Linked DNA regions of Arabidopsis thaliana. The protein of the gene in region 3 interacts with the protein of the main gene of each other region in a biochemical or structural test. Each region holds a gene or a part of one and is shown on either strand. Other genes may lie near its edges. The genes, in order: HDA15, HY5, PIF3 and PHYB.

The links.
Region 1: the proteins of PIF3 (region 3) and HDA15 form a complex in vitro, tested with the Arabidopsis thaliana proteins (one study listed by BioGRID).
Region 2: the proteins of PIF3 (region 3) and HY5 form a complex in vitro, tested with the Arabidopsis thaliana proteins (2 studies listed by BioGRID).
Region 4: the proteins of PIF3 (region 3) and PHYB form a complex in vitro, tested with the Arabidopsis thaliana proteins (12 studies listed by BioGRID, with this or other methods).

The regions. Positions count from the first base shown.
Region 1 is NC_003074.8:6,359,594-6,366,127, reverse strand, and holds HDA15 (histone deacetylase 15), read right to left. Parts: upstream 4,953-6,534; 5' UTR 4,834-4,952; intron 4,576-4,833; 5' UTR 4,524-4,575; coding exon 4,389-4,523; intron 4,295-4,388; coding exon 4,109-4,294; intron 3,982-4,108; coding exon 3,879-3,981; intron 3,763-3,878; coding exon 3,698-3,762; intron 3,559-3,697; coding exon 3,483-3,558; intron 3,164-3,482; coding exon 3,099-3,163; intron 2,997-3,098; coding exon 2,941-2,996; intron 2,777-2,940; coding exon 2,653-2,776; intron 2,543-2,652; coding exon 2,417-2,542; intron 2,301-2,416; coding exon 2,250-2,300; intron 2,137-2,249; coding exon 2,068-2,136; intron 1,850-2,067; coding exon 1,741-1,849; intron 1,598-1,740; coding exon 1,518-1,597; intron 1,416-1,517; coding exon 1,333-1,415; coding exon of another isoform or gene 1,305-1,332; exon of another isoform or gene 1,252-1,304; coding exon 1,206-1,251; exon of another isoform or gene 1,125-1,205; coding exon 946-1,124; coding exon of another isoform or gene 942-945; exon of another isoform or gene 871-941; coding exon 729-870; 3' UTR 513-728; and 1 more. Other genes in the region: RTFL20 (ROTUNDIFOLIA like 20), read right to left, coding at 5,832-5,993. UniProt on the Arabidopsis thaliana protein: Responsible for the deacetylation of lysine residues on the N-terminal part of the core histones (H2A, H2B, H3 and H4).
Region 2 is NC_003076.8:3,592,825-3,596,730, forward strand, and holds HY5 (Basic-leucine zipper (bZIP) transcription factor family protein), read right to left. Parts: upstream 2,180-3,906; 5' UTR 1,977-2,179; coding exon 1,880-1,976; intron 1,650-1,879; coding exon 1,466-1,649; intron 1,356-1,465; coding exon 1,094-1,355; 3' UTR 971-1,093; intron 828-970; coding exon of another isoform or gene 759-827; 3' UTR 537-758; downstream 1-536. Other genes in the region: OCP3 (overexpressor of cationic peroxidase 3), read right to left, coding at 2,733-2,861, 2,953-3,270, 3,448-3,825.
Region 3 is NC_003070.9:3,074,052-3,080,160, reverse strand, and holds PIF3 (phytochrome interacting factor 3), read right to left. Parts: upstream 4,394-6,109; 5' UTR 4,309-4,393; intron 3,761-4,308; exon of another isoform or gene 3,703-3,760; 5' UTR 2,946-3,702; coding exon 2,875-2,945; intron 2,784-2,874; coding exon 1,904-2,783; intron 1,816-1,903; coding exon 1,708-1,815; intron 1,617-1,707; coding exon 1,551-1,616; intron 1,319-1,550; coding exon 1,253-1,318; intron 1,178-1,252; coding exon 794-1,177; 3' UTR 507-793; downstream 1-506.
Region 4 is NC_003071.7:8,138,181-8,145,003, reverse strand, and holds PHYB (phytochrome B), read right to left. Parts: upstream 5,242-6,823; 5' UTR 4,926-5,241; coding exon 2,762-4,925; intron 2,674-2,761; coding exon 1,866-2,673; intron 1,776-1,865; coding exon 1,485-1,775; coding exon of another isoform or gene 1,355-1,484; exon of another isoform or gene 1,109-1,354; coding exon 853-1,108; 3' UTR 543-852; downstream 1-542. Other genes in the region: XTH21 (xyloglucan endotransglucosylase/hydrolase 21), read right to left, coding at 1-57. UniProt on the Arabidopsis thaliana protein: Regulatory photoreceptor which exists in two forms that are reversibly interconvertible by light: the Pr form that absorbs maximally in the red region of the spectrum and the Pfr form that absorbs maximally in the far-red region.

The DNA.
Region 1 (6,534 bases), on a different chromosome or scaffold from region 3:
ATTCTCTTAGAAAACAAACATATGATTAAATAAAATGTGGTTGATTTACAAAAATTCAGCTAGTTCATAATCGAAATTAACCGATAGCCCCTCTATCTACCTAAAATCAGAAAGAATTAATCTGAATCGAAGCGATTATTCGAAAGTTCTTATTTAATAGAGCTGGACTAATATTCTTAGCCGAACAGTGCCAAAATTTTGGTAATTAGATTTGGTTCAAAATACCGACAAAACTGTTTTGTTTGGTTTTGGAAGATTGAACATATCCGTATTTAGAAGCTCTTTTAGTTTTTCATAAATTTCTAAATATTCTTAAATTCTTCTACTTTTTTCTTTTTTGTAAATCAAATTTCCTAGCCGTATCAAACTGTGTCAAATATACTGAAATTGATTGAAATATACCAAAACCAAAAAGAATATACCGGAATTATTGGAAAATGAGGATTTTGGACACCGAGAAATGAACAAGAAATTTGTTTTTGGTTTGGTTCGACATCAATAATTTTAAGATAAACCAAACCGAACTATAAATTTGGTTAAAGTAGGAATTCGTTTATCCAAACCGATTGCCTAGCTTAAGAGGTCTGATGAGGATGGTTGGTAAGCAGGTTAAAAGGGTTCTTTCTATAAAACCCTACCAAATGTAAGTGATAAAGATTGTTCAGAGCTCCCTAATTGCAATAAATTCCCCCAGATCAGTTAGGGTTACAAGTAAGTGTAGACAATTCCTACGACGGATTAGGAAGAATGCTTTCTAAAATCACTTTGATCTTGAAATCATACGAGCCGAGAGAAAGTTGTACAAAAGCTTCTTTCGTCCCCATTTCCACCATGTCGGAACCCGAACAACCTTCCTTTTCATCTGATTTTCTGTAAAACCAGTGAGATTTTATTAGGAGAAAGAAGGATGAAGAATGAAATAGTTTTTTTTTTGGGAAGCATCACTCACTTTTGTTTTCGATCAGACGTGCTTCCAACTCTGAGAGTAATTTGGAGTAGCTGATAGCAAGTGATGGCCAGAACTCCAGTTGGATATTCAGTACATCAAGAACAGTTTGCAGGCCGGCTACTGAAGGCGTGGTGGCGATGGGCAACTCGTTCTCCGGATTTTCACCCAGAAGCACCTTTATAGATTAAGCGGGATCATGAATCTCCATAACTATATGCAGATTTTAAAGGATATCAAGTTTGAAATAGAGACTAACCTTGATCACTGCTGTTGCAGAAGCAGATATGGAGCGAAGATTGTAGCTGCAAATGAAAACAGGAGATTATTCAAAAGCTGCTCCTTACAAACCAAGAGGCTACTCCAAAAAACTGCAAAACACATACCCGCCCTCGAGAATAACTAGCATTTTCCCACCACACAGATCACCCAACATCTGTGTCATTCGAGAATAGCCAGCCGGAGTCACCTGAAAAAAGGAGTAGAACAGAACATCTATCCTCTGTTGATATCCACAAAACAATACACTGATTCCAGAAGTGGTAAATTACAGCTCGAATATGAAGCTTACATCACAGCATCCTAGTGGGTCTCCTCTAGCCGCATCAAATCCCGCAGATATGATGACAAAATCTGGAGAAAATGCAGAAGCTGCAAGAGAAGGTTCCAGTTAAAATTAGACTGAGTGCACATTCAAAAGTGAGCTAAATGTATTTGGTCCACTTCCTGAGCATATTAGTCATCAATTAAGCCAAAACGTTTATCAAATGGGGAAAAGTAGAACGACTCTGTACCTATGGGGAGAACCACATGTTGAAACGCAAAGATATAGTCTTTATCCCCAACTCCACCGCAACTCCATGGAACATTTACACAATAACCTTCCCCACCATTAGAACCAACCTGCACCCATAATTAACATTAGCAAACTATTGTTCTGCCGCCTAGAGAAAATTCAAATTTTGGAAACAAGGCAGAAATTAGAAAATAATCCCAAAATTTAAGACATAAATCATAATGCAAACCAAACACACAAATAAGGTATATGCATATATATACCAACAACTAAATCTACTCATGAATGCTGGATGAGACAATGTAAAACAGAAAAGCATAGGTACCTCATCAGCAGCTCCAGTACCGGGATAGAAGTTTCCTCCCTCATGTCTGTGCAAGGATATGTACAATACCTATGCAATGACTCCCAGTAATAAGTTCAAACAAGGTCAACTCACAAAAATAATTTACTGCATCCAACACTCCAAAATTGATGTGCAGACATGCATAGATTTGGGCAGCTTACAGATTTGTTTTGTTCGAATATCTCTTGGGTTCCGTTGCCATGATGGACATCCTGCAACGGTAGATATAACATTGATATGAGCCAAACCACACAATGCAGAGTACAACGAATTAAAAAAGTTTGAAGATCTACAAAATCACCCAGTTTAGAGTTATCAGTAACATTACCCAGTCCACAATCAGCACCTTCTTTGCCCCTGCTGCTTGTGCTACTAATGCAGCAACGGCTGCATTATTGTGAAGGCAAAACCCCATAGCATGCCTGACGCCAGCATGATGACCGGGAGGTCTAACCTGATACAATCAGAGATTTTTTTTTTTCAAACTAATATGGTGTAATTTCAATTTAAAGCAATTGTGTAGTTGCATCTTTAAATTTAAAAATTTTGGTGAATTAGACATACCAAAGCAAAACCATTTTTTACACGGCCAGTGAAAATATCTGTAGCTAGATCAGCGCACAAACCTGCTGCAAGTCTAGCAGCACGTGCTGAATACTCATTAGCATATGTGTCAGAGGTGAAGTAGCTGCCAGACAATGGTAAAAGAACGGGATCAAGAGCAAAAAGAGATAAATGAGGAGCAGCGAAGGTAAAGGAAATTTCAATTCAAGTTTGAACAGTCAGATTAACAAGCAAGGATATGCACGGTGAACGCAAAAAAAAAAGTAACAAATGGTTTAAAATTCAAACCTATAGAGAAGCTGGCTTGTAGTATCAACAGCATCAACATGCTCTGAAGTGTGGACCTCAAAATTGACATATACAAACCAGTTATGAAATTGCTTGTAAAAGTACTGCAATGAACATAATATTAGAATTGTCTCTAAGACAGTTATGTAGCAGCTCACCATCTGGAGTTCTTGTTTCGTGATTTCCCTTGCATTGATAGGCAAGCATCTTCCAGGAAAAACACCTGCAAAAAAATTCAAACGTGGTGAGTACCAAAATTACTCCCAACAGTATGATACTGTAAAATGAAACACATGATATGATATATGGGATCAAGTCTCAGAGAAGGTAGACAAGGACGCTAGAAGCTTCTTAATTGAAGAAGTTATGTTCTGATCTTTTCCTTTTAGAATTAGAATTTTATTATTTTCCTTTTTAGTTTTAACTTACCTCGGCTGCAAGAGATCTATATAATGATCTCCAAATCTTAATAATAATCAGCTTCCAAACATTAGTCTTCTTCTCAAGAGAGGCTAGGTTTAAAGGAAGTAAACGCAACATACCAGCTGTGGCAAGACTAGCAGCTATAGCTCGAAGACGATCAGGTCTCTCTGGATGTGGTTGTGCCTTCACTTCAAACTTTTTAAGCATGCCATCAGCACATATTAAATAGAAAAACTTGCACGAAGAAAAGCTTTGGAGATGATAATGTAGAGATGTCAACAGATACTAGAGGTTTCTCAGGAAAACATAACACATAACAGTAACAAGATCATACTTCTGAGTGTAGCAACATTCTCTCGTCGAACCCAACAGCTGTCGAGCTGGTTGCAGATGAGCTTCCTAATATCAAGTTAAAAGAAAAGTGAACATGCTTACAGTTACTTAAATAGCATGGAACTGAGACTAACAATATTTATAAAGACATTTTCAGAGGAAGCAAGGGAAGTAATTCCTACCTCCATATTTCTCCTCGACTTCAATGAGACCAGTGTCTTTAAAAAAGGGAGACGCTAAATATCCATGCCTCAAAATGCCAGATTCCTTGTGCTCACCGCATATCTACGTCAAGGAATCAACTTTACTAATACATAACCAATGTCCAATGCGCATTGCTCAGACGTACGTTTGTCACTTTGAAATCATAAAAAGTAGTAGCCAAGCAAGAAAAAGTAAATAAAAAACGTACACAACAGTGGACCATATCACCAGGGTTCGACATAGTGCAATTGACACAACACCATTTTACAAACTCCATAGGCGCCTGCACAGGTTCCCAATCACAATCATCATCCTCATCATCGTCATCATTGAGTAATGCATCAGCACCGTAAATATCTTCAAACGTCATTTCTCTAGAAACCCTAGCTCTTTTCTGCATAAGACACAACAATGACCAATATCACCAAAAGCAGAACCAACCAAATCTCTGACAATACATTAAAAGGAAGCCATGGTTTTTAGCTTACCGCTGAAACTCCAGGAGCTACATTTATATCTCCATTGCTACACTCTTCTCCCGAACAAGGAACAGCGATATCTCCACCGTTCACATGTCTTCTCTTTGAACCCTCACAAGACCTCTCGATAGTTTCTACAACCATTGTTACCTCAGTAGTCACTCAAAACTACTAACCAGCTGAAAATAAATCTCCGCTGTGCCAAAAGAGAAACAAAGAAAAACCCAATTTGAGAAATTTTAAAAATCAAAAAGTTTCATATACGAAGAGCTAAAATCAAAATCGAAGAAAATGTAAAGAACTCCACACACAGCTACAACAAATAACTTTACGAAGAACCCAACTTTTCTTCGAGTATTATCGAAATCGATCCTCGATCCAGAACTCAGGAATTGTTTTTTTTTCTCTATGGAAACTGAATAAAAATATCAACGACGGTCTCAAAATATCATACCTGAAGAAAACTTCCGGCGAAACGATGAACAGAGAAGGCTGCGTCCGTCGCGTTTAAAGGAGCGCGACGCTACGATAGCACAACAGAGCAGAAATGAGAGAAACGACGACGGCGACAACGAAGATGACGACGTTCAGACTTGAAAGAGTAAAAGATTATTTGGGCTGAAGATGAAGACCCAATAACACTATAAGCCCATTACCAAATTTGAGTCAAACTATTTATTTTTATTTCCTTTTGCTTGGAATTTTTCATTAATGTTCAAGTATTGAAAGAGCAAAGTACGACTGAATCTTACTTCACAAAGCCAATTTAGGTTTGTTGTCTTCTCGAAATGGATTACAAAAGTTACCATTTTTTAAAGGGAATGAGACTTTAGTTGTTATGTCATTGAATTTTTGTTTGGTAAATAACCTAACTGATAACTTCATAATATTTATAGTGAAAAATGTTTGAATCATCAGGTAATTAAACGTCACACTACAGATTGTAGAATGACTAATGGTTAAACTAACTGATAATGACCAGCTAACATAATCAAAATACGCCCAAGCGCATTAACACATGTGAGACTGATATTTGTTTCCCTTACCTTTTTCTTTTACCTTAACCTAATTCTAACTGTAAGTACTGAATCCAATTTCTTTGTTATATAATACATGTTTGTGTGCATGCATCTCCATATAGTACTCAAAAGCATCGTCTTTGTCTTTTCTCTAAGAATTTATTATTCATACATTAATATTAATTCTACAAACATGGGACTATGGGAGATAGTATTCCGTTATATATATAGTTCACAAGAAGAATATTGAGTGATATATTTCCATATATAACAACGACGACGACAACAAGAACACACCCACATAAAATGAGAGATGAACACCGAAATGTTAAAGATGTAAATATGTTGAGCTCTCTCTCCTTTTTATACCTCTATCATCATCTATACCTATACATGATAACATAAATATGTATGAAAAAATGTGTGTTGACTATCACTTGTGTGAACAAAGAAGCATAGTAATACATTTTCCAATAATGTAGAACCTTCCTTTCTTCTTTTTCAGAAACTCTCCAACTCCTTTTGGTGAAGAAGGCTTGTTCTTCTTCTTCTCCCAATTCTTCACTGCTTCCTCCTTTGTGTACTTCTCCCTCATTGTTTAAAGTGTGTTTATAAAACAAACTTTTTTGTTTTTCCTTATTATCAGGGATTCAGGGTGATTGTGTGATGATTGTGTGATGTTTAAATGGAAGTGAAGATTCATCATATTATATATATTGGAGTGAGAGAGAAAGAGATAAGGAGAAAGTATTCCCTACCATTGATTCGGGACCCTTCAACGAAACAACCCAAAAATAAAGGCCACTTTGTGAAGTGTGACCGACTAGCTTCCCATTATGGTTGAAAATATTTGATGTATTGTTTTCTTGTCTCCTTTCAGTTCAAAGATTCATCATCGGTAGAGATTGATTTATTCACTTTGATTATTGGAATATTATGTTAGAACATACGGTATTGCAGACCGTCCATATCTCATCTTAATTTCTTTGAATTTAAATTGAACATGCAAACTAACGTTATGGTTAACTGCTAAATAAATACATAAAATGCAAATTCCAAGGAGCTTTCGGGTTTGTTTTGAAATACATGTTTAAAAACTTCTGCATGACTATAAAAAATCACGAAACTAAGTGTTA
Region 2 (3,906 bases), on a different chromosome or scaffold from region 3:
TTAACATTGATAGAATCTGAGTATCCTCAAAAGCATGAGAAATAATGTCAAACAATCCATAGTACACTAGCAACTAGCAATAGATGAAGATGAGATCCACGAAAAATCTAAAATAGAAAACAAAGAATCAGAAAGCATACAACAGGTAAAGAAATGTACGATTTTGTCCATGAAATTCGGTTGTGGCAACCCGATTCTAAGAAGGGAGCAGCAAGTTCAAGGTAGCAGTGACAGAAAACAATGTCTGGATTCCATGGATTTTAGAAAAAGGAAAGCAAAAGTGTAAGAAAACACTTACATGATTGCTCATCTCTCGAGCTTGACAAGCTTTGGCTGTAAAAGATCGACCCTACCCTCTTTGTCCGATTTCCGCATAATATGATCAACGGCATCTTCGTTTACAAATCCATGGCGACTTGTCTGTAAGAAATCGGGAGGGATAGGGGCAAAAAGGAAAAAAAAAAGAGTAAAGATTCCACTATCCCAGAATTTGTTTGGGACTTTGAACTGCGGGAATCGAAAACGCAACCTTTCTACTACAGTGTCACAATGTCATATCATAGAACAAAAATTAGCTTATTTTTGTTATAAAACAACATTATGTTTCAATTAAGAGAAATCTAAGACTACAATAAGAGAACTTGGTCTACAATTGCAATATTAGCTCTCACATCCCATATAATTTTAACATGATAATTATTGATACAATTCTCTGTAAATTTTATCCACAAAAATATAACACAAGAAGAAGAAGGAGATCAAAGGCTTGCATCAGCATTAGAACCACCACCACCTCCTCTCTTGTTTCCTGTTGTGTTCTTCAGAATCTACACCACATAAAAAACATAACAACTCAAAAGACTTTATTACCACACACACACATAGAGATCCAACTTTGCAATCTCATCTTCTCCATTCATATAGAACAAAATGAGTGAGCATTTCAAGAACCATTGAAGAATTTACATGCCTTTTGAGAGAATATGCGAGTGAATGACCATTTCAAGAACCTACATGCCTTCTGAGAATTAATCTAAAGCTTAAGTTAGCTTCTTAGATCCTTTTAACTAACTAAACTAATTATTGGTCAATCCTAGACTCGTAAATGTGATAAACCAGTACTGTGATATATCAAAAAACAAATGGCAAAAGCATTGACGTTGCAGGTTAAGTCAACAGTAAGATCGACAAAACGTACATGTCTAAGCATCTGGTTCTCGTTCTGAAGAGTAGAGAGTCGCTCTTCAAGTTCAGAGTTTTTGTTCTCCAAGTCTTTCACTCTGTTTTCCAACTCGCTCAAGTAAGCCTTTTTCCTCTCTCTTGCTTGCTGAGCTGAAACTCTGTTCCTCAACAACCTTTTCACCACAAAATTACCAAACAACCCCATCACGCAACCGTTATTTAACATAATCACCTTCCATATAAAGGGTAAAAATGTAAATTCAATGAATAGAGAAAAAGACACCTCTTCAGCCGCTTGTTCTCTTTCTCCGCCGGTGTCCTCCCTCGCTTCCTTTGACTTTCTCCGACAGTCGCCTGTGTCCGCTCCTGACCGGTCGCCGATCCAGATTCTCTACCGGAAGTTTCTTTTCCGACAGCTTCTCCTCCAAACTCCGGCACTCGCCGTATCTCCTCATCGCTTTCAATTCCTTTAAAACATAAAAGAGACTTTAGACGAAAAGTTTCAAACTTTTTAAATACAATAAAAAATTGCAGATCTTCTGGGGGAGACTAAAAGTTGTGAATCTAGATGTGAATCAATGGTGATACAAAATCTAGATGTGAATTTACTAGATATCCAATGCATGAGAATGAAAATCAATGAGATCACTCGTTGGGAGAAGATATGAAAATAAAACAATCGACAATTTTTGTTTACCTTCTTTGATCTCCAAATGTGGAGCAGAGCTTGATGACCTCTCGCTGCTTGATGGTAAAGAGCTTGCAGCTAAAGAGCTAGTCGCTTGTTCCTGCATTTTTCTTACTCTTTGAAGATCGATCAGGCGAGAGAGAGAGGGAAAGATTTGTTGTCTTAGTAGCGAAGCTGGTGAAAAGGATAAAGAGGAAAAGAGCGGGACTTGGGATTTACAGAAGAACTTGGAAAGAATCTAATTGCGAGACATTTTGGGAAGGAATAGATTACTCTGGCTACCGCCGTCAGATCTCTGAAGAATCGAACGGATATCGAGAGTGAATCGTGGAGAAAGGTGAGCCTTGAGGAAATACAAGGATCCAAAGGCAATTGAGATTGGAACGTGGGTGGATTTTAGCCGTTAGATCTGGTTAGCATCTTACGGTGAATAATGGATAGGGGAGCTAATTGGGTGGGCCCCATTCCTGTCCTTGGACAGAAAAGTTTGGTCTGAGTTCTTTCATTCTGTCACATGGCCCACGCCTAGGGCAGTGCTTTCAAAAGTGTCGTGAAAGTAATTTATTTTATTTTTGGTGATTTGTTTTTGTCATGCATTAAAATTAAACTTTATAGCCGCCATAAACCAAACAAAGTTGAAACGGTTTTCTACAAGACACAATCTCAGCAAGGAAATAACTAAAAACTGAATACAAGATATCCTAAAATTTCATAGTCCAACATATCCAGCCACACCATTGGACAGAATCTACTACTATAAACACTCCTCGTATCACCAAAAAAACTTGTCCTTGACGACAATGTTGATGAGTTTCTGAGAATCAAGTATACAAATCATTGCCATCTCAACGTTAACATTAGATCAAACCGGAGCTTGATATGGAGCTCGCTTATCTGGAACTCCGTCTTCTGCTCTTTTATCTTCGAACCACTTCAAAACTCGCTTCCTTGGAAGATTGGTCACTTGAACAATGCTGCTAACCACAGCATTCTATTCACAGCATCATCAAACATGATCATATGTGAGATAGAGCATTCAAGTAACATAGAAATTGATTCAAATGTAAAAGGAGAATCCTTACAGTGGGTCGTTTTGATCTTCTGTAAACTTTCTCTAGCGTTTCAATGTGAGCTTTCTTCACTCTTTTCTGAGCAGACCATCTCTGTTGCATCACATGAACTGCTTCATCTTTTACTTTTTCCTTAGGTTCGACCACAACATCTTCAGCTGATAATGATTCCACAGGACTTGGATCAGGTGAGGAGTTCTCAGGTGCTGCTACTGGCGGTTTTTCATCTGGTAGTGTAGCACTTAGCATTAGCAGCTTTGGAGGCGGGTCACGAAGCAATTCAAGAACATAAGCCCTGTCAAGACAAACCTCAGCTGCCAGATTTTTAATCTACAGATCACAACAAAACCATCCGTTATCAATTATGCATTTGAAAACCAGAGAACTACTTGTTCTTTGTCAACTCTTAAACAATTCGTAAGCAAAATCTCCAAAGCAGACACTAACTCAAGCACTATGCTTTACACAATGTATTCAACATCACTTCAACACTGAACTAAAACTTACACTAGTTTTACGACGCCCAGCTTTCAATGCATAAGCCAGTCTTTTAAGCTGCCAATTCTTCAGCTTAGTCGGTCTTTCATCTTCTTCGCTGTCATCATCATCATCATCATTATCATCATCATCATTATCATCATCATCATTATCAACATCAACATCAACATCACCAGTGACTGAACCAAACAAGTCGATGTCATCAACATCGTCACCAACACCCAATGCTCGAGCTAACTCATCGGCTAATGCCTCTAACTCTTCCTCACTTATCTCCTCATCATCCGAGTTATCATTCTTCAAATCTTCTTCTAAAAGATTAAACAATGCCTCAAATGGATCCTCCTCCTCCTCACCTCCTCCATTATCAGCTCCATCCAAACTTTTCTGCCACAAACCATGAAATCAAAGGCTGATACAAAATCAAAAAGAGCCAAAGTCTAATTCGAGGATTCACCAATTCTAACC
Region 3 (6,109 bases):
AACAAGCATCTACGAGAAGTTGACAACGTTTTGTGAACATAAAACAAAGTAACAAACTTCCTAAAGAATTGAGGAAGAAATTTTTTACTTTCGACAAAACTCCCAATCGATACAATCATGGACATATATATAGCTTCCAGCATCCGAGAAACAAATCAGGAGCTCACATTTGCCCTCTTCCAAACTATGGTTCTCTAGGCTCTAGCTCAACTCCTCCGATCGTTGACCTAACCCTAACCATCGATTCCCTTTCTTTTTGTTAAAGAAAACGTAACAGTCATGCGTGAGCGAATCACTTACTACGTATAACATAAACTACATATCAAGCTAAGTGATGCGCTCAAACACCGTGTATCATGTAACTTATATACACCCTATAGGTTCCAACAAAAAAAAAAAAAAAAAAAAACTTCCAATAATTTCAATTTTCGCGTGGGTATATATTCAGCTTCACTAGTTCAATAGTCCTGGCCCAAAAAAAGAAAAAAAAGGAAATCGAAAGAAAATGTCATAATTAAGTTATTTAACAAAATGGGCTGAGAAGCCCATCACGCTTGTTTAACCAGGTCCATCTATATAGTGAACCCCACGCTACATTAAAAAGGGAACAAAACCTTTGAAAATATTAAAAACATTTTTTAATTCAAAACAAGAAACAGAACAGAACCCACCAATAAGCACAAAGCTCTTCACTGTTATAACGAACACAAATTAATTTTGTTTAGGATTATAAAATAGATTTGTTTGAATGCTACAAATAAACAATACATCAGTTCATAAGTTTGTATTTATGTCACGACGATCCACAAAACTGATCAGAAGACCCCTGTTTTCTCTTTATTGGTTTCAAGTTACTGTTGTTATTCGTCGTTGTTTGATCTTTAGAACCAGATAAATCTCTAGTCGAGCCATTGCCAATCGTCGAAGAACCGGCAAAGATACCACCACCAGAGACACGTGGAATACCCATCGCCACTGGTTGTTGTTGCATCCCCGAGACTTGGAACTGTGGTCCGTGGTTAACCGATGAACCACCACGGCTCAAATCAGGCAAGCCCATTGCATAAGGCATTCCCATACCCATTGCCATTGCAGCAGCTGCTGCCGGGTAATGCCCCATACCCGGTGGGAACATAACCGCCGGTGGCAGATAGTAACCAGACGCCATTGACATGATCTGTTGGCGATTATTGTGTTTAGATTATTAGTTTGCACGATTTTTATCGACTCTAGAGAGTAATGAGAGTGTTACCTGCACTTGAAGTTGGAGTGACTTGAGATACTCGATGGCTTCATCTAGCATCGAAGCTTTGTCCACCTTTAAACCATATAAATGTTACAAAAGCTGATTAAATACGAAAATTCTCGGCTTGAACAATCTTGCTTACAATATGGTTTCAATTGTTTTTCCGGTTTAATAAATACGGAAACCAATCAAAAACCTTTAGCAATTCGTTCTAAGATGCAAGTTTTAGTTTATTTGGCATTGCTCCTTATCTTTCAAACAAAAATGAATCATGAATGGTATTTGTAAAGGAGAAGAAGCTGACCTTGTTACAGTTTGGAATGAGTTCTTGCAGGGCACGCATCTTCTCGTTGATCCTATCACGCCGTCTCTGAAAATTGAGGACAGTAAGTTACCAAATATAGCAATCTTTTGTGAGTTTGAGAATGGACAAAAACCCTTTAGGGGCTTCACTCACTCACCCTTTCAGACAGATTATGCACTTCTGCAGAGCGGCTTCTCTTTGAACCCAAACCCGTTCGAGATGGACCTGCTTCCTTTCTTCCATCTCCTGATTCTTCTTCCACATCCTGCTCAACAATATTCAATAAAAAAACTGAAGAAAACAACAAAGAAACGAAATTGTAATGTGCATAAAATGACATGAGTTTAACTCACTTCACTATGACAGTCAATGTCTTGAATATTCGAATGCTTTCTCTTTAAAGAAAGTGAAGGACTTTCGGATGGGCCATCGAGACTATTACCCGAGCCAACAGAAGAACATACAACTGCTTTTTCACTCTCTTGGTCTTTTCTACATGAGTCCTCTGATATTAGGCAAGCCTTTTGGTTATCTTTAGGCGTAGCAGAAGCAACAGACTCGTTAAGAACCTTATCTTCAGAGTCTTTAGCTCCAAGAACTCTGGTCTGAAACACATTTGGCGGGCTTTGAGGACTCTTTTCTTTAGTGTCATGAAGGTTATTATTAGTAGTCTTCGCAAAAGTTGCAGGGCGTAAGAAATGTGAAAAGTTGACCAAACTAGGCTTGTTACTAGTAATTAGTGGTTCCTGCGTCTGAGTAAACCGATCCGGATTGGTTTGTTGGCTAGGAAGATCTCTAGCTCTATCACTTCCATACAGAGAATGCGATTGGAAACCGTTATACTGCGACGAAGAAGCAGCAGGAGCTGATTCATTGCCATCCTTTCTTCTCTGAAACAACGGGAAAGCAGTTTGGTTTACCGCCATATCACTCTCTTGCTCGTTGACAGTAACAGGAGACGACACATCACGCAAGAAATCAGAGCAATATCCATCAAGGGAGGGATGATGATTCAACCATGGAACAAAGTCATCGTCTTGACTCAAACCCGTCATTAGTGATGGCACTGACATAGGGATCTCGTCCACCATAGTCGTCTTTGAGCCATTTCCAATCTCTCTAGCTCTAGAAGAGTTTGCTTGTGGTGGAGGAATGTTCCTCGATCTACTTGACTGACTTTGAGTTGATATCTGACCATTTTCCCACACCAGCTCCACAACTTCATCTACAGGTCTGTTATTTTTCACACACAACAAAAAAACACATGAATTTGATGAACTTGAAACAAGGCAGACTTAAAGAGAGACAAGTGAATGGGACTCACGGAGAAGGGTTCCTGTCTTGAGCAGATTCAAGCTTAGCTTTGGTGAGCCTGAAAAGCTCAAACAGAGGCATGGTGTTGCGTTTTACAGAAACAATCTTTTACGAAGTCTTGATCCTAAAAAGGTGAATTCATAAAATAGACGAATTAGGCCAAGAAAAACTTGCCAGAAACAAAAATTGTACACTTTGTAATGCTTAAATTAGAAAACTTTTCAGTTCCCAAATTAGAAACTGGGAAATAAAGAAATAGAAAAGAAATCAATGTCTCAATCATCAATATGCAATATAAAAAAAGCAGAGATTTTCACTTAGTTTAATGGCAACATGATTAGTCAAATCAAAACCAATTGTTTAATCACACTGAAGAACGATTCAAAACAGCGCACTCAAGACCTAATTAACCATCTCTTAAGAAAACCAAAACAAAAAGATCAAAACTTTGATCTTCTTGTCTGAATAAAGCTATCATCGTAGCTGACCTGAGAAAAAGGGTACTGAAGCAATCGAAGTCAGCGAAGAGAGAAAGAGAGAGTGAGAACCTCAAAGTATTAAAGTGGCATCAATCCAAATGCAGAGAACAGAGGAGAAAAAGTCGGCGAATTGGAGTAGTCCTGAGAAAGTAGGCGGAGAGAGAAGGAGATGGAGACAAATCGACGCACAAGACGGACGCAGAGAGAGAAGAGAGGGGACCAAATCGTCTGTAACTGAGGATTTTGATTTTTTGTTTTCACAGTCTCTGAGACTCCGTTTCTCTCGAACATTCAACCTTTTAGCGTCGCCCGAATCATTAGCTCTACTCTTTACCTTTCTCTCTATTTTTCTTTTCTCCCTATATTTATAAACACATAATTAAAGAGAAATTGCTTCATATAATCAAATATTAATTATGTCAATGATTATATATAGTGGATTATATATGTTGCACTAAACATTGCAACAATTTGTTAAAACACACACCAAATACAATTCTACCATGTTTGTTTGTTTTTTTTTGCAAATAAAATGATGAATTTTTGCATACAAATAGTCGATCGTATGATTACTTTGATAAAAATTAAAGACAATGATAATTGCGTATGTATTGTTTTATCAAATAGTGTTCATTCTCTTATTTTAATAGATGGTCAATTCTCTAATATACTAACAAATCAGAAATACTATCTATAGAACCATCTCACTGAGATCTTTGTGATTAAACAAAGTATTGATTACTTTTTTGGGCATGTTGTAGGTATCGAGACAAGTTTAATAATTATCGTAAACAAGTACTAGTTGTTGTATTAGTAGTGGTTTTAGGCTATTAGTAGAAATAATTAATGTTTAATTAGATGTACTATATATAAATAAATTACGGTATTATACAATCCTTCAATTGATATGGTAACTGCTTTCATAAGATATTGTTATTAAACGAGAAAATTAAAGCAAAAGGGACCTAGAGAAGAGAGTTGGAGCATGGTGACCAAATTGCTTCTCACCGACCTCTGCACACTTCGTCTGTCTCTGTTACATGATACAGGTCCTTCGCATTATTACAATTAATTCATGGTGTGTCTATGAATAATTTAATACACTTACAAATATGAAAATAATCATATACTAGAATATGTTATCTTATCTTAAAGTGACATGGGCCTGTGATACACTAAAGTTGTGTGTGAAGAGATGTGTTATCATAAAGGAACACTGCCAAAAAAGCATCACACTCCAAGTGGGGTTGAGCAACCTTGTCTCTCTTTATCTATCTTAATTATTAAAGGTTTGACTTCTCTAATCATTACTATTTTTCTTAAGTCTTTTTTAGTCTTTACGATACTAAATTACTAATCATCCTCAAATTTGGGGACTCACTCAGCAAGTTCTATTAACTGATGAAAACCAATCATTTGCGCTATAATAATTGAGATTTTTTTTAATCATGGGATATAGTATGTGGTATAGTGGTTCCAAACTCTTAGATTAGAGCATATTATCTTTAAATCTAATTTGTTCCTTTCTATAAGTAAAAAATAAATAAAACCATCTAGAATATCAGTCGAGTTTGTTCACGAACGTTGCATCTTCTGGTTTATCTCTCGTTATAGCTCGGTTGATGATGAAATGTCAATTAAATCGCCATGCAAATTAGATTCTAAAATACGTAACAACCCATTGTATACTATAAACTTTCCAAGTGGATAATTTGAGTACATTTGCATGGACCATTATTGATTTCATCACTGTATTTTATGGCCATCTCTTGTTCAGAAAATAATTATAAACAAATTTATTATAAAATCAAACCGAGTAAATAAATAAGTAGATATATATATCAAAGAAAGAAGAAAACTCGGAATGGAAGTGATCCTACTATATTATTTGGGAAGTACATTTGAAATATAATCTTCTTTTTTGTAAGTAATTATATAGGTATGCCATTAGAAATAAAATTTTAAAGAGTAAATTAATTCATTTCTTTAAAAATTAAAGAGTCAAATACTAATTTAATTAATTAAATTTAACTCAAAAACGAAATACATTATTAATTTCCAGAAAAGTAACCAATTAAAATCAACAAATTAGATTTGATATCTAAATTATCATATTAATTTTTAAAATGTAACCTTATTTTTTGTAAGTAATTACATACGTATGCCATTAGAAATAAAATTTTAAAGAGTAAATTAATTCATTTCTTTAAAAATTAAAAAGTCAAATACTAATTTAATTAATTAAATTTAACTCAAAAACGAAATACATTATTAATTTCCAAAAAAGTAACCAATTAAAATCAACAAATTAGATTTGATATCAATATTATCATATTAATTTTTTATTAATTATTATAATTCACCTCTCATCTTTATATGATTCTATTTTTGCGAAAAAATAATATCATCGTTATAAAAAAATAATTAGAGTTTTTTCGCATATGCCACAATTTGAATTTTTAAAAACGAATATAAATTGTTCAGTACATGAAAAAAATACTATAACGGGTCAAAAGTAGATTTAAGAAAAAAAATTACTGAGTACTGTGTCATAATTTGAATATTTATATTCAATTTCATACATATTATTTTAAAATTTATAATCTTATATACTACAATAATTAATAACATATTAGATTTTTTAATGTGTATGATGTGATTCAATTTTTAATACAAGCTGAAAAATCCTACAATTGACGGGTTTAAATCAATATTAATACAAGATGGTATACTACATGTGAAACTCTAAAATTAACAATCAAAATA
Region 4 (6,823 bases), on a different chromosome or scaffold from region 3:
TATGCTTAAACCAAGAAAGAGAGATATTGACATAACCAAAAGTGTACTAGAAACCATTATAAGTTTTGAAGGTTTTAGGTGGGTTTAAGGGTTTGAATTGGGTTTGAGACATTTAGAAGGCTATTGATTGGTGAGTATTTATAGAGCATATATAATGGAGTTTTGATTCCTTAATGATTAGTTATATATTGTTAATATTTCAGTCTTTGAGCTTTACTTTAATTTTCTTTAAGAAAAAAGGTGAGTTTAGTGTGGGTAATGTGAAAAACGAAACAGCCTGGAGAGCATACACATCAAAACTATAGTGCGATACATCATAAACATTAAATTAACTATTGTTAATGTGTTACATCCTAAGCTTAGCCAGCCTAATTTAAACATCTCACTTTTTATATATATAGTGGAGTTTGTAAAATTTCAACTTTTTGGACGGTACCATTTCATCATAAATCTTTTAAAATTAATGTGATTGGCCTTTACCTCTTGATTGCGTAGACAGACTAATTGGATATAATATGATTTATAAATGGTTAACAATCAAATAATAATTTTGAATTGATGTAACGAGTAACAAATTAAAAGGATTGGTCATCGATTAATATGCTCTCTTCTTATCTCATTGTTTTGTTTCTCTCGGAGTTGTCAATTTACACAGCACAAACAAAAGTCTTGAAATTCTCTACAACTACTGTTACGTTTTTTTTCCGGCGAGCTGAGCTGAACGCAAATAATCTCCCTCTTCTCTACTAATCTCACCGGAAACAAAAAAAAAACTTTCTATCCTCCTCCGACGTCGTTAGACACACAAACACTCATACAATGATACAAACTCTCATACCAACTGAAGTGTGACTAATATGGCATCATCAGCATCATGTCACCACTTCCACTAGCAGTTGACAATGGTCGCTTTCGAGGTACAGGGAGTTCCAGAATGATGAGGAAATAGGACCGTTCTGATTCTCGGATGTATTGAACCTCACCGTTCATTAGCTTTAAAATCTTTCGACATACGCTTAGACCTAAACCTTCAGGGCTTGTCCACCTGCTGCTATGGAACATGTCTCGGACTAGCTCTGGAGGCAGACCTTCACCTGGACACGCCATTCTGCAAACAACGAATAAAGACATAACAAAGACACCAACACATGAAACCCAAGTTTTACACTTTTGAGCTGGTTTTCATCAATTTGAAAACATTACATTCCTTGACTGCTAATTCTAGGCCTATGGATGTGTCTAAAAGTTCCCAAGTCGACTAAACCGAATACAAAAATCAAACTAATCTAGGTTCCAACTAAACAATAACCAAAACAAATAGTGAATTGGTTAAAACCTCAAATTCTTTAAACGCCTAAATCAAATTCGTAATTAACCAAACCAAATTCATTTTCTTTATGTACAAAATAAGGAACCAAAAAAACCGGATTGCATAATTTTGGTTATGGATATGTGGAGACAACAGCGGGAACAATGAAATGTACCTGAATTCTGTGCGGATGGCGGCGAATCCATCAGCCATTTGCTTTGAAAGTTGGCTTAAATGGATCTCCACCCACTCTTGAGATGGTGCATACCGGATTATACTCAGCAGAAACTCAGCCAGGAGCTGTTGAATCCTTATCTGGTCTCCAAAAACCTCTATTGATTTGATCTCTTCGGGAATGTCACGGATCAGCTGAAGACCTCTGTCCCTTAATAAGAACATCGCTTGACTTACAATCGCGTTTATGACACTTCCAAGGAAAAACTCTTCCCTCTTTAGCACAAATGAACTGATCAATGAAAAAAACAAAATTTGGGATTTGGTCACATTTTGTGAAGTAAGCAAAACTAGCTTCTAGATAAATTCTAACTATACTCACCCGTCTTCAATGCTTTCAAGATCCATGTCCCCGACGATCCTTGAGATCTGTTTCTCGCAAGAAACACTTGTTTCAAGTAACTGCTTCTGGTCCTCGTTCAAGTCTGTGGCCTCCAACAATGAGTTTGCGAAACGCATACCGCTCAAAGGATTCTTTATCACCTGACAAATATAAGCCAACTCTTTTGCCTTCGTGAAACACTCTGTGTCCTGCCTCCGTTGGACTGCTAAAGCTTGCTGCAGCTCAGGGCTCGGGATTTGCAAGAAACAGAAAGCCCCAATAACCTTTCCCTCGAGGCTAACCCGCTTGTTTGCAGTCAATAGAGCCTGAACAAACTTCCCATTGCGGTCAAAGAATGGGAAAGGGAACTTATCCGTATCTTGGCCACCAATCGCATTATGCAATACAATCATGAACTTGGTTAAAGCATCAGGACCCTTTAGCATGCAACAGCTCCCAAACACTTCCCCGACAATCATTTTCCCAATCACTTCACTGCGAGACCAACCCGTAAGCTTTTCCATCGCCATGTTCCATTCCAGGCAGCACGTGTTCTCGTCAGCAGCAAAAATTGGCGGGATTAGAGGGTTTGGGCTATGTACAATAGCCTTGTAATCTCCTTGTATGTTGATGAACTTATCCATTACGATTTTCTGACTAGTAACGTCTTGTCCAACAAAACAAACGCCGACAATGTTGTTCAAGTAGTCCTTGCTGGAACAAGCATTCACAACCACAAAAACTGCTTTCCCTTGTAGTTCGGGGCTGAAAGTTTTCAGCTTAACCTCCACATTCTTTTCCTCGTCCCCTGCATTGCCAAATGCAACAAAATAATCAAATACCCGCGAATTGGTATATACACCGCAGATACAACATAGCTGAAGAACTGAATATACCTCTCAAAGCACGAGAAAGAAGCTTATTGACAGTTGCTTCATTCTCTTTGTATATTAAATCAGAAACCAGAGACTTCCCCATAGCTTCTTCAACTGAGAGACCTGTCAACTCTGCAATCTTAGCGTTCCATCCATTGATGCAGCCTCCGGCATCCACAGCGAATATAGGAACAGTTGCAGTCTCAATGAGCCTAACCATCTCTCTTGCAACTGCACCTAACTCATCAATCCCCTGTTCCCCCGCCATATCCCTACATGGCTGAACCACACCATCCACAACTTTAGAGTTCATAGCCGCCTCAGATTCTTTAAAAGAGTCTCTCAGAATAAGCTGGAGCGAGTGAATCGCATCCATTTCCGCAGTTTCCCATGGCTGACTCCGGCTCTTAACAACTTCAAGAAAAGCCTGAAAGGACGAACGAGGATGCATTCGTTGCCCATCATCTTTATCCTCCGGATGATGCTTAGCGCCTCCCCATTTGATTTCTTTCGCAGTGTGAGATCGAAACCAAAAAAGAAAGTCTCTTTTTGTGATATATGCAACTGCCATACCGCACACAGCATCCCCTAACGCAGCTGCACCGGGATACCCCGCATCGCCTAAACTATCAGTGCTTAATCCGGTTGAATCCGCATGATTCGCAAGCAACCACTCCACAACATCTTTTATCTGAACTTCACTAGGAGCAACACCCAACGGGTAATACTTCCCGTGGTAAAGAAATGCTGCACCGTCACATTTCACTAAGTCCATGATACTGGGACTCTGTGTAACAATTCCAGCAGGCGAGTCACGCAGAAGCATATCACATAACAGTGTCTGCGTTCTCAAAACGCGTTTCTCTGACATTTGCAAAGCTAACTGCAATTCCATGTTTAACTGTAAACCGAAAGCCTGCATCAAAAACTCACAAGCATACCTTAGCGGAAACGGTATGCAGCGAGAAGAAGTGTGATGGCAAACAACCAAACCCCAAAGCCTCATCGAGCTTCTTCCACTAGCTACATTGCTCCCATCATCTTCATTTCCATTGATTATAACCGCCATTGCTAAAGACGCAATAGATCCCATGTTAGCCATATACTGAGAGTGACAACCATGAGGAGCCCTAAGAGTAGAACCAACCAAGCACATAGACTGAGTTAGCCTATCGTCCTGGACCACAAGAACAGGTGTGGCATTGCAATCTACTATCATTCGGACACGGTTCTGCTTAAACAAGAACCTTGACGCTTGAGGAATATCAGTAGCAGGATAATGCAGTCCAATATAAGGCTCTAAATCATCTCGTTTACTCTCAGCTACAACTTCTCCATGCTCATCTTCATGAAACTTATAAACCATAACACGATCATAACCAGTCAAGTCCCTCACACTTTCCACGACAGTGTCACACAAAAGCTTAATATCTCCACCAGGAAGAGCCTGTAACTGAGAAATCGCACGAACCGCGAGTTTCTGCGATTGAACAGCACCAGCAATAGAAAGCGCAGGATCTTCAGTTCTAGCTGGCTCTAAATCAATAACAACACCAACATCAATCCTATGAAGAATGGCGTAAAACGGTTTACCAGTATTCTTGGAATGGATCCAAACCGGATTTAACAAGGTAATCTCTCGAGCAACGAAAGCACGCTCGAGTAGAATCGAGCTCGAAGAAGTGAACAAAGATCTCACATCAGTTCCCATAGCTAGAATCTCAGGTTTCTCAAGAGTAGGAACAGATTGAGGCATAATCCCTAACATTTCTCTGGCGTTTTCACTGTAACCGATGATCCGGAAACTGGATTCATCGACGGCGATCATACATCCGAAAGGCTGAATGTAACCACCTCGCTGGATTCGAGAGAGATAAGCTGTGATCTGTTGCTCAGGTACAGAGGAACCGTACGTCGTCGTTTTGAGTGATTGTGAGTAGTCGAATGATTTCCCTGATTCGCCGGATTGTTCGAAAACGGCGTGGAGTCTTGCGTCGACGGTGTACTGTTGAATTGCTTTGCTCATTGATTCAGTGTTGCTTCTTGGTCTGAGAGATTTCGTTCCCGACGATTGAGCTTGTTCTCCTCCTCTTCGGTTATTAGGAGTGTGACTTGACGACGGTTCTTCTTCTCCGCCACGGCCACCGCCACGGCCACCGCCACTACCCCCGACTCCGGAAACCATGCCGTTTGATTTTGAATTTGAGAAATTTCTCAGAATTACCTTGAGACAAGGAAGGATTTAGGGTGAATCATCATCCACTAGTTATCGGAGACGAATTCTGGTAGAGCTAAATTCTCAAGAATTTTGAACTTGAGGAAGAAGAAAATGGGGAGAATTGAGATCGGAGATAAGTGGAGAAACCAATAAAATAAATTGAAGAAGACGAAGCAAAATGTGTGCCTCTCAGATAGAGAGAGATAACAAAAAAAAATCAGAGTTTTTTTTTTTTTTGTCGTCTTCGCTTTTTGTTTCCTCATATATTTTCTGCGACTTTTTTTGTGTGGCGATTTTAGCAAATTACCTTTAAAGTTTTGATATTTATCAATTTAACCCAGAAGAGCTTTTGTTTTGTCGTTTAATGTGAGGGAGAGATTGATTGGGCCCAAGATCACGTGGGCTAATGGTTTATTCTCTCTAGTGGCCACACGTGGTTGCTGGGCCCATTGCGCGTGGGAGGGAGCCCCTGGACTTGTCGAATCGCATCATCAATTACGATTTCGAATTCGTACTATACAAGTTTGGTTTCTTCAATATCTTATCGTGGGTCAAGTCAACCAAGTGGTGTCCTCTCTATACAAATATTGAAATGTTTTATACTCTCATCGTACGTATATACTTCTCATAATTTGTACTAGATAGAATATAGAATCACATATTGGTCTCAAAGGGGTTCGAAGTAGTATTAGCACGCTCCATGCGGAATAGAATCATAAATTTTGCATAGTAAACTCGTCTAATACATAAGATATATTTTGGTCCACTTTGATATATACGTTGGATCTATATCATTACATTTTGTATAATACATGCATTGTACTACTTAGCATTACGTTTTATTGAATATATGCAATTCTTTTTTGACATATTAATGATTCTAAATTTGGATTATTTGGTGAAAGCATACAATTATGGTGCTTCGAAAAAAGAACATAAAATAAATTAAAGTAATGATAAAGAGGAAAAAAAGAGAGCAGAAAAACATATAAATGAGAAAAATCGTGTGCATGAAAAGTTAAGGGTCCATTACATAAATGATTTTGGGCCGCTCACAGTTTCATGTTAAGTCACTGCGTTCGTCCTTTTCTTTTGTTGAATGACTAATTTCTCCATCTCGTGTTGTTTGTTTTCAAAGCTCTATCATAATAAGTTAAGTATAACCGACCACTTTTTCTTTTTAACACTATTACATATATAAACATCCATGTTACCATGTATGAAGACAAAAACGATTATCTTATATACCCATAAAATATTATGGACCAAAAGTGAATAGTGAAAAGAAAACAGAAAAAAATTGGAATGACAAAAGAAAAACACACTATTCGTTGACAAAACAAAAGTTTAAATGTTTATTAGTGAGTAATGACCTCATATGTTTTGGTCTTATCTTGGACGAGATATGATTGGATGTCCACGAATTTAATCATGTACCTGTTCGCACTAGAGTGTACTAGTTCGTTGGCTAAGAATCGTCCACGTACAATAGTTTTAAACCACCAGTAATTTACCACGTGCCACTGAAATCAAATTAGCTAATAAACTACTCAATTACCAAATCACCCTTATAAACTCTCAATGATTCTTTAGGCTTGGCTGCTAATTTCTTAAAACTTTTGCATAACTTTTGCATAAATAAGAATAAGACAAAAGATGAAATTAATATAAGGGTACAATCGTAATTCAAGAATTTCCAAAATTCGTTCTTTAGTATAACGAAGAACTAGCTAGACATTATTAGGCATTGGGGCATACTTTAAAGCCCAAAACTAAGCCCTCCCATACTAATAAATCAGGAGCCCAAATTGGAAAAAACGACTTTAATAGCCTTTGGGTAATACTTTAAAGCCCAAGCCCAATTT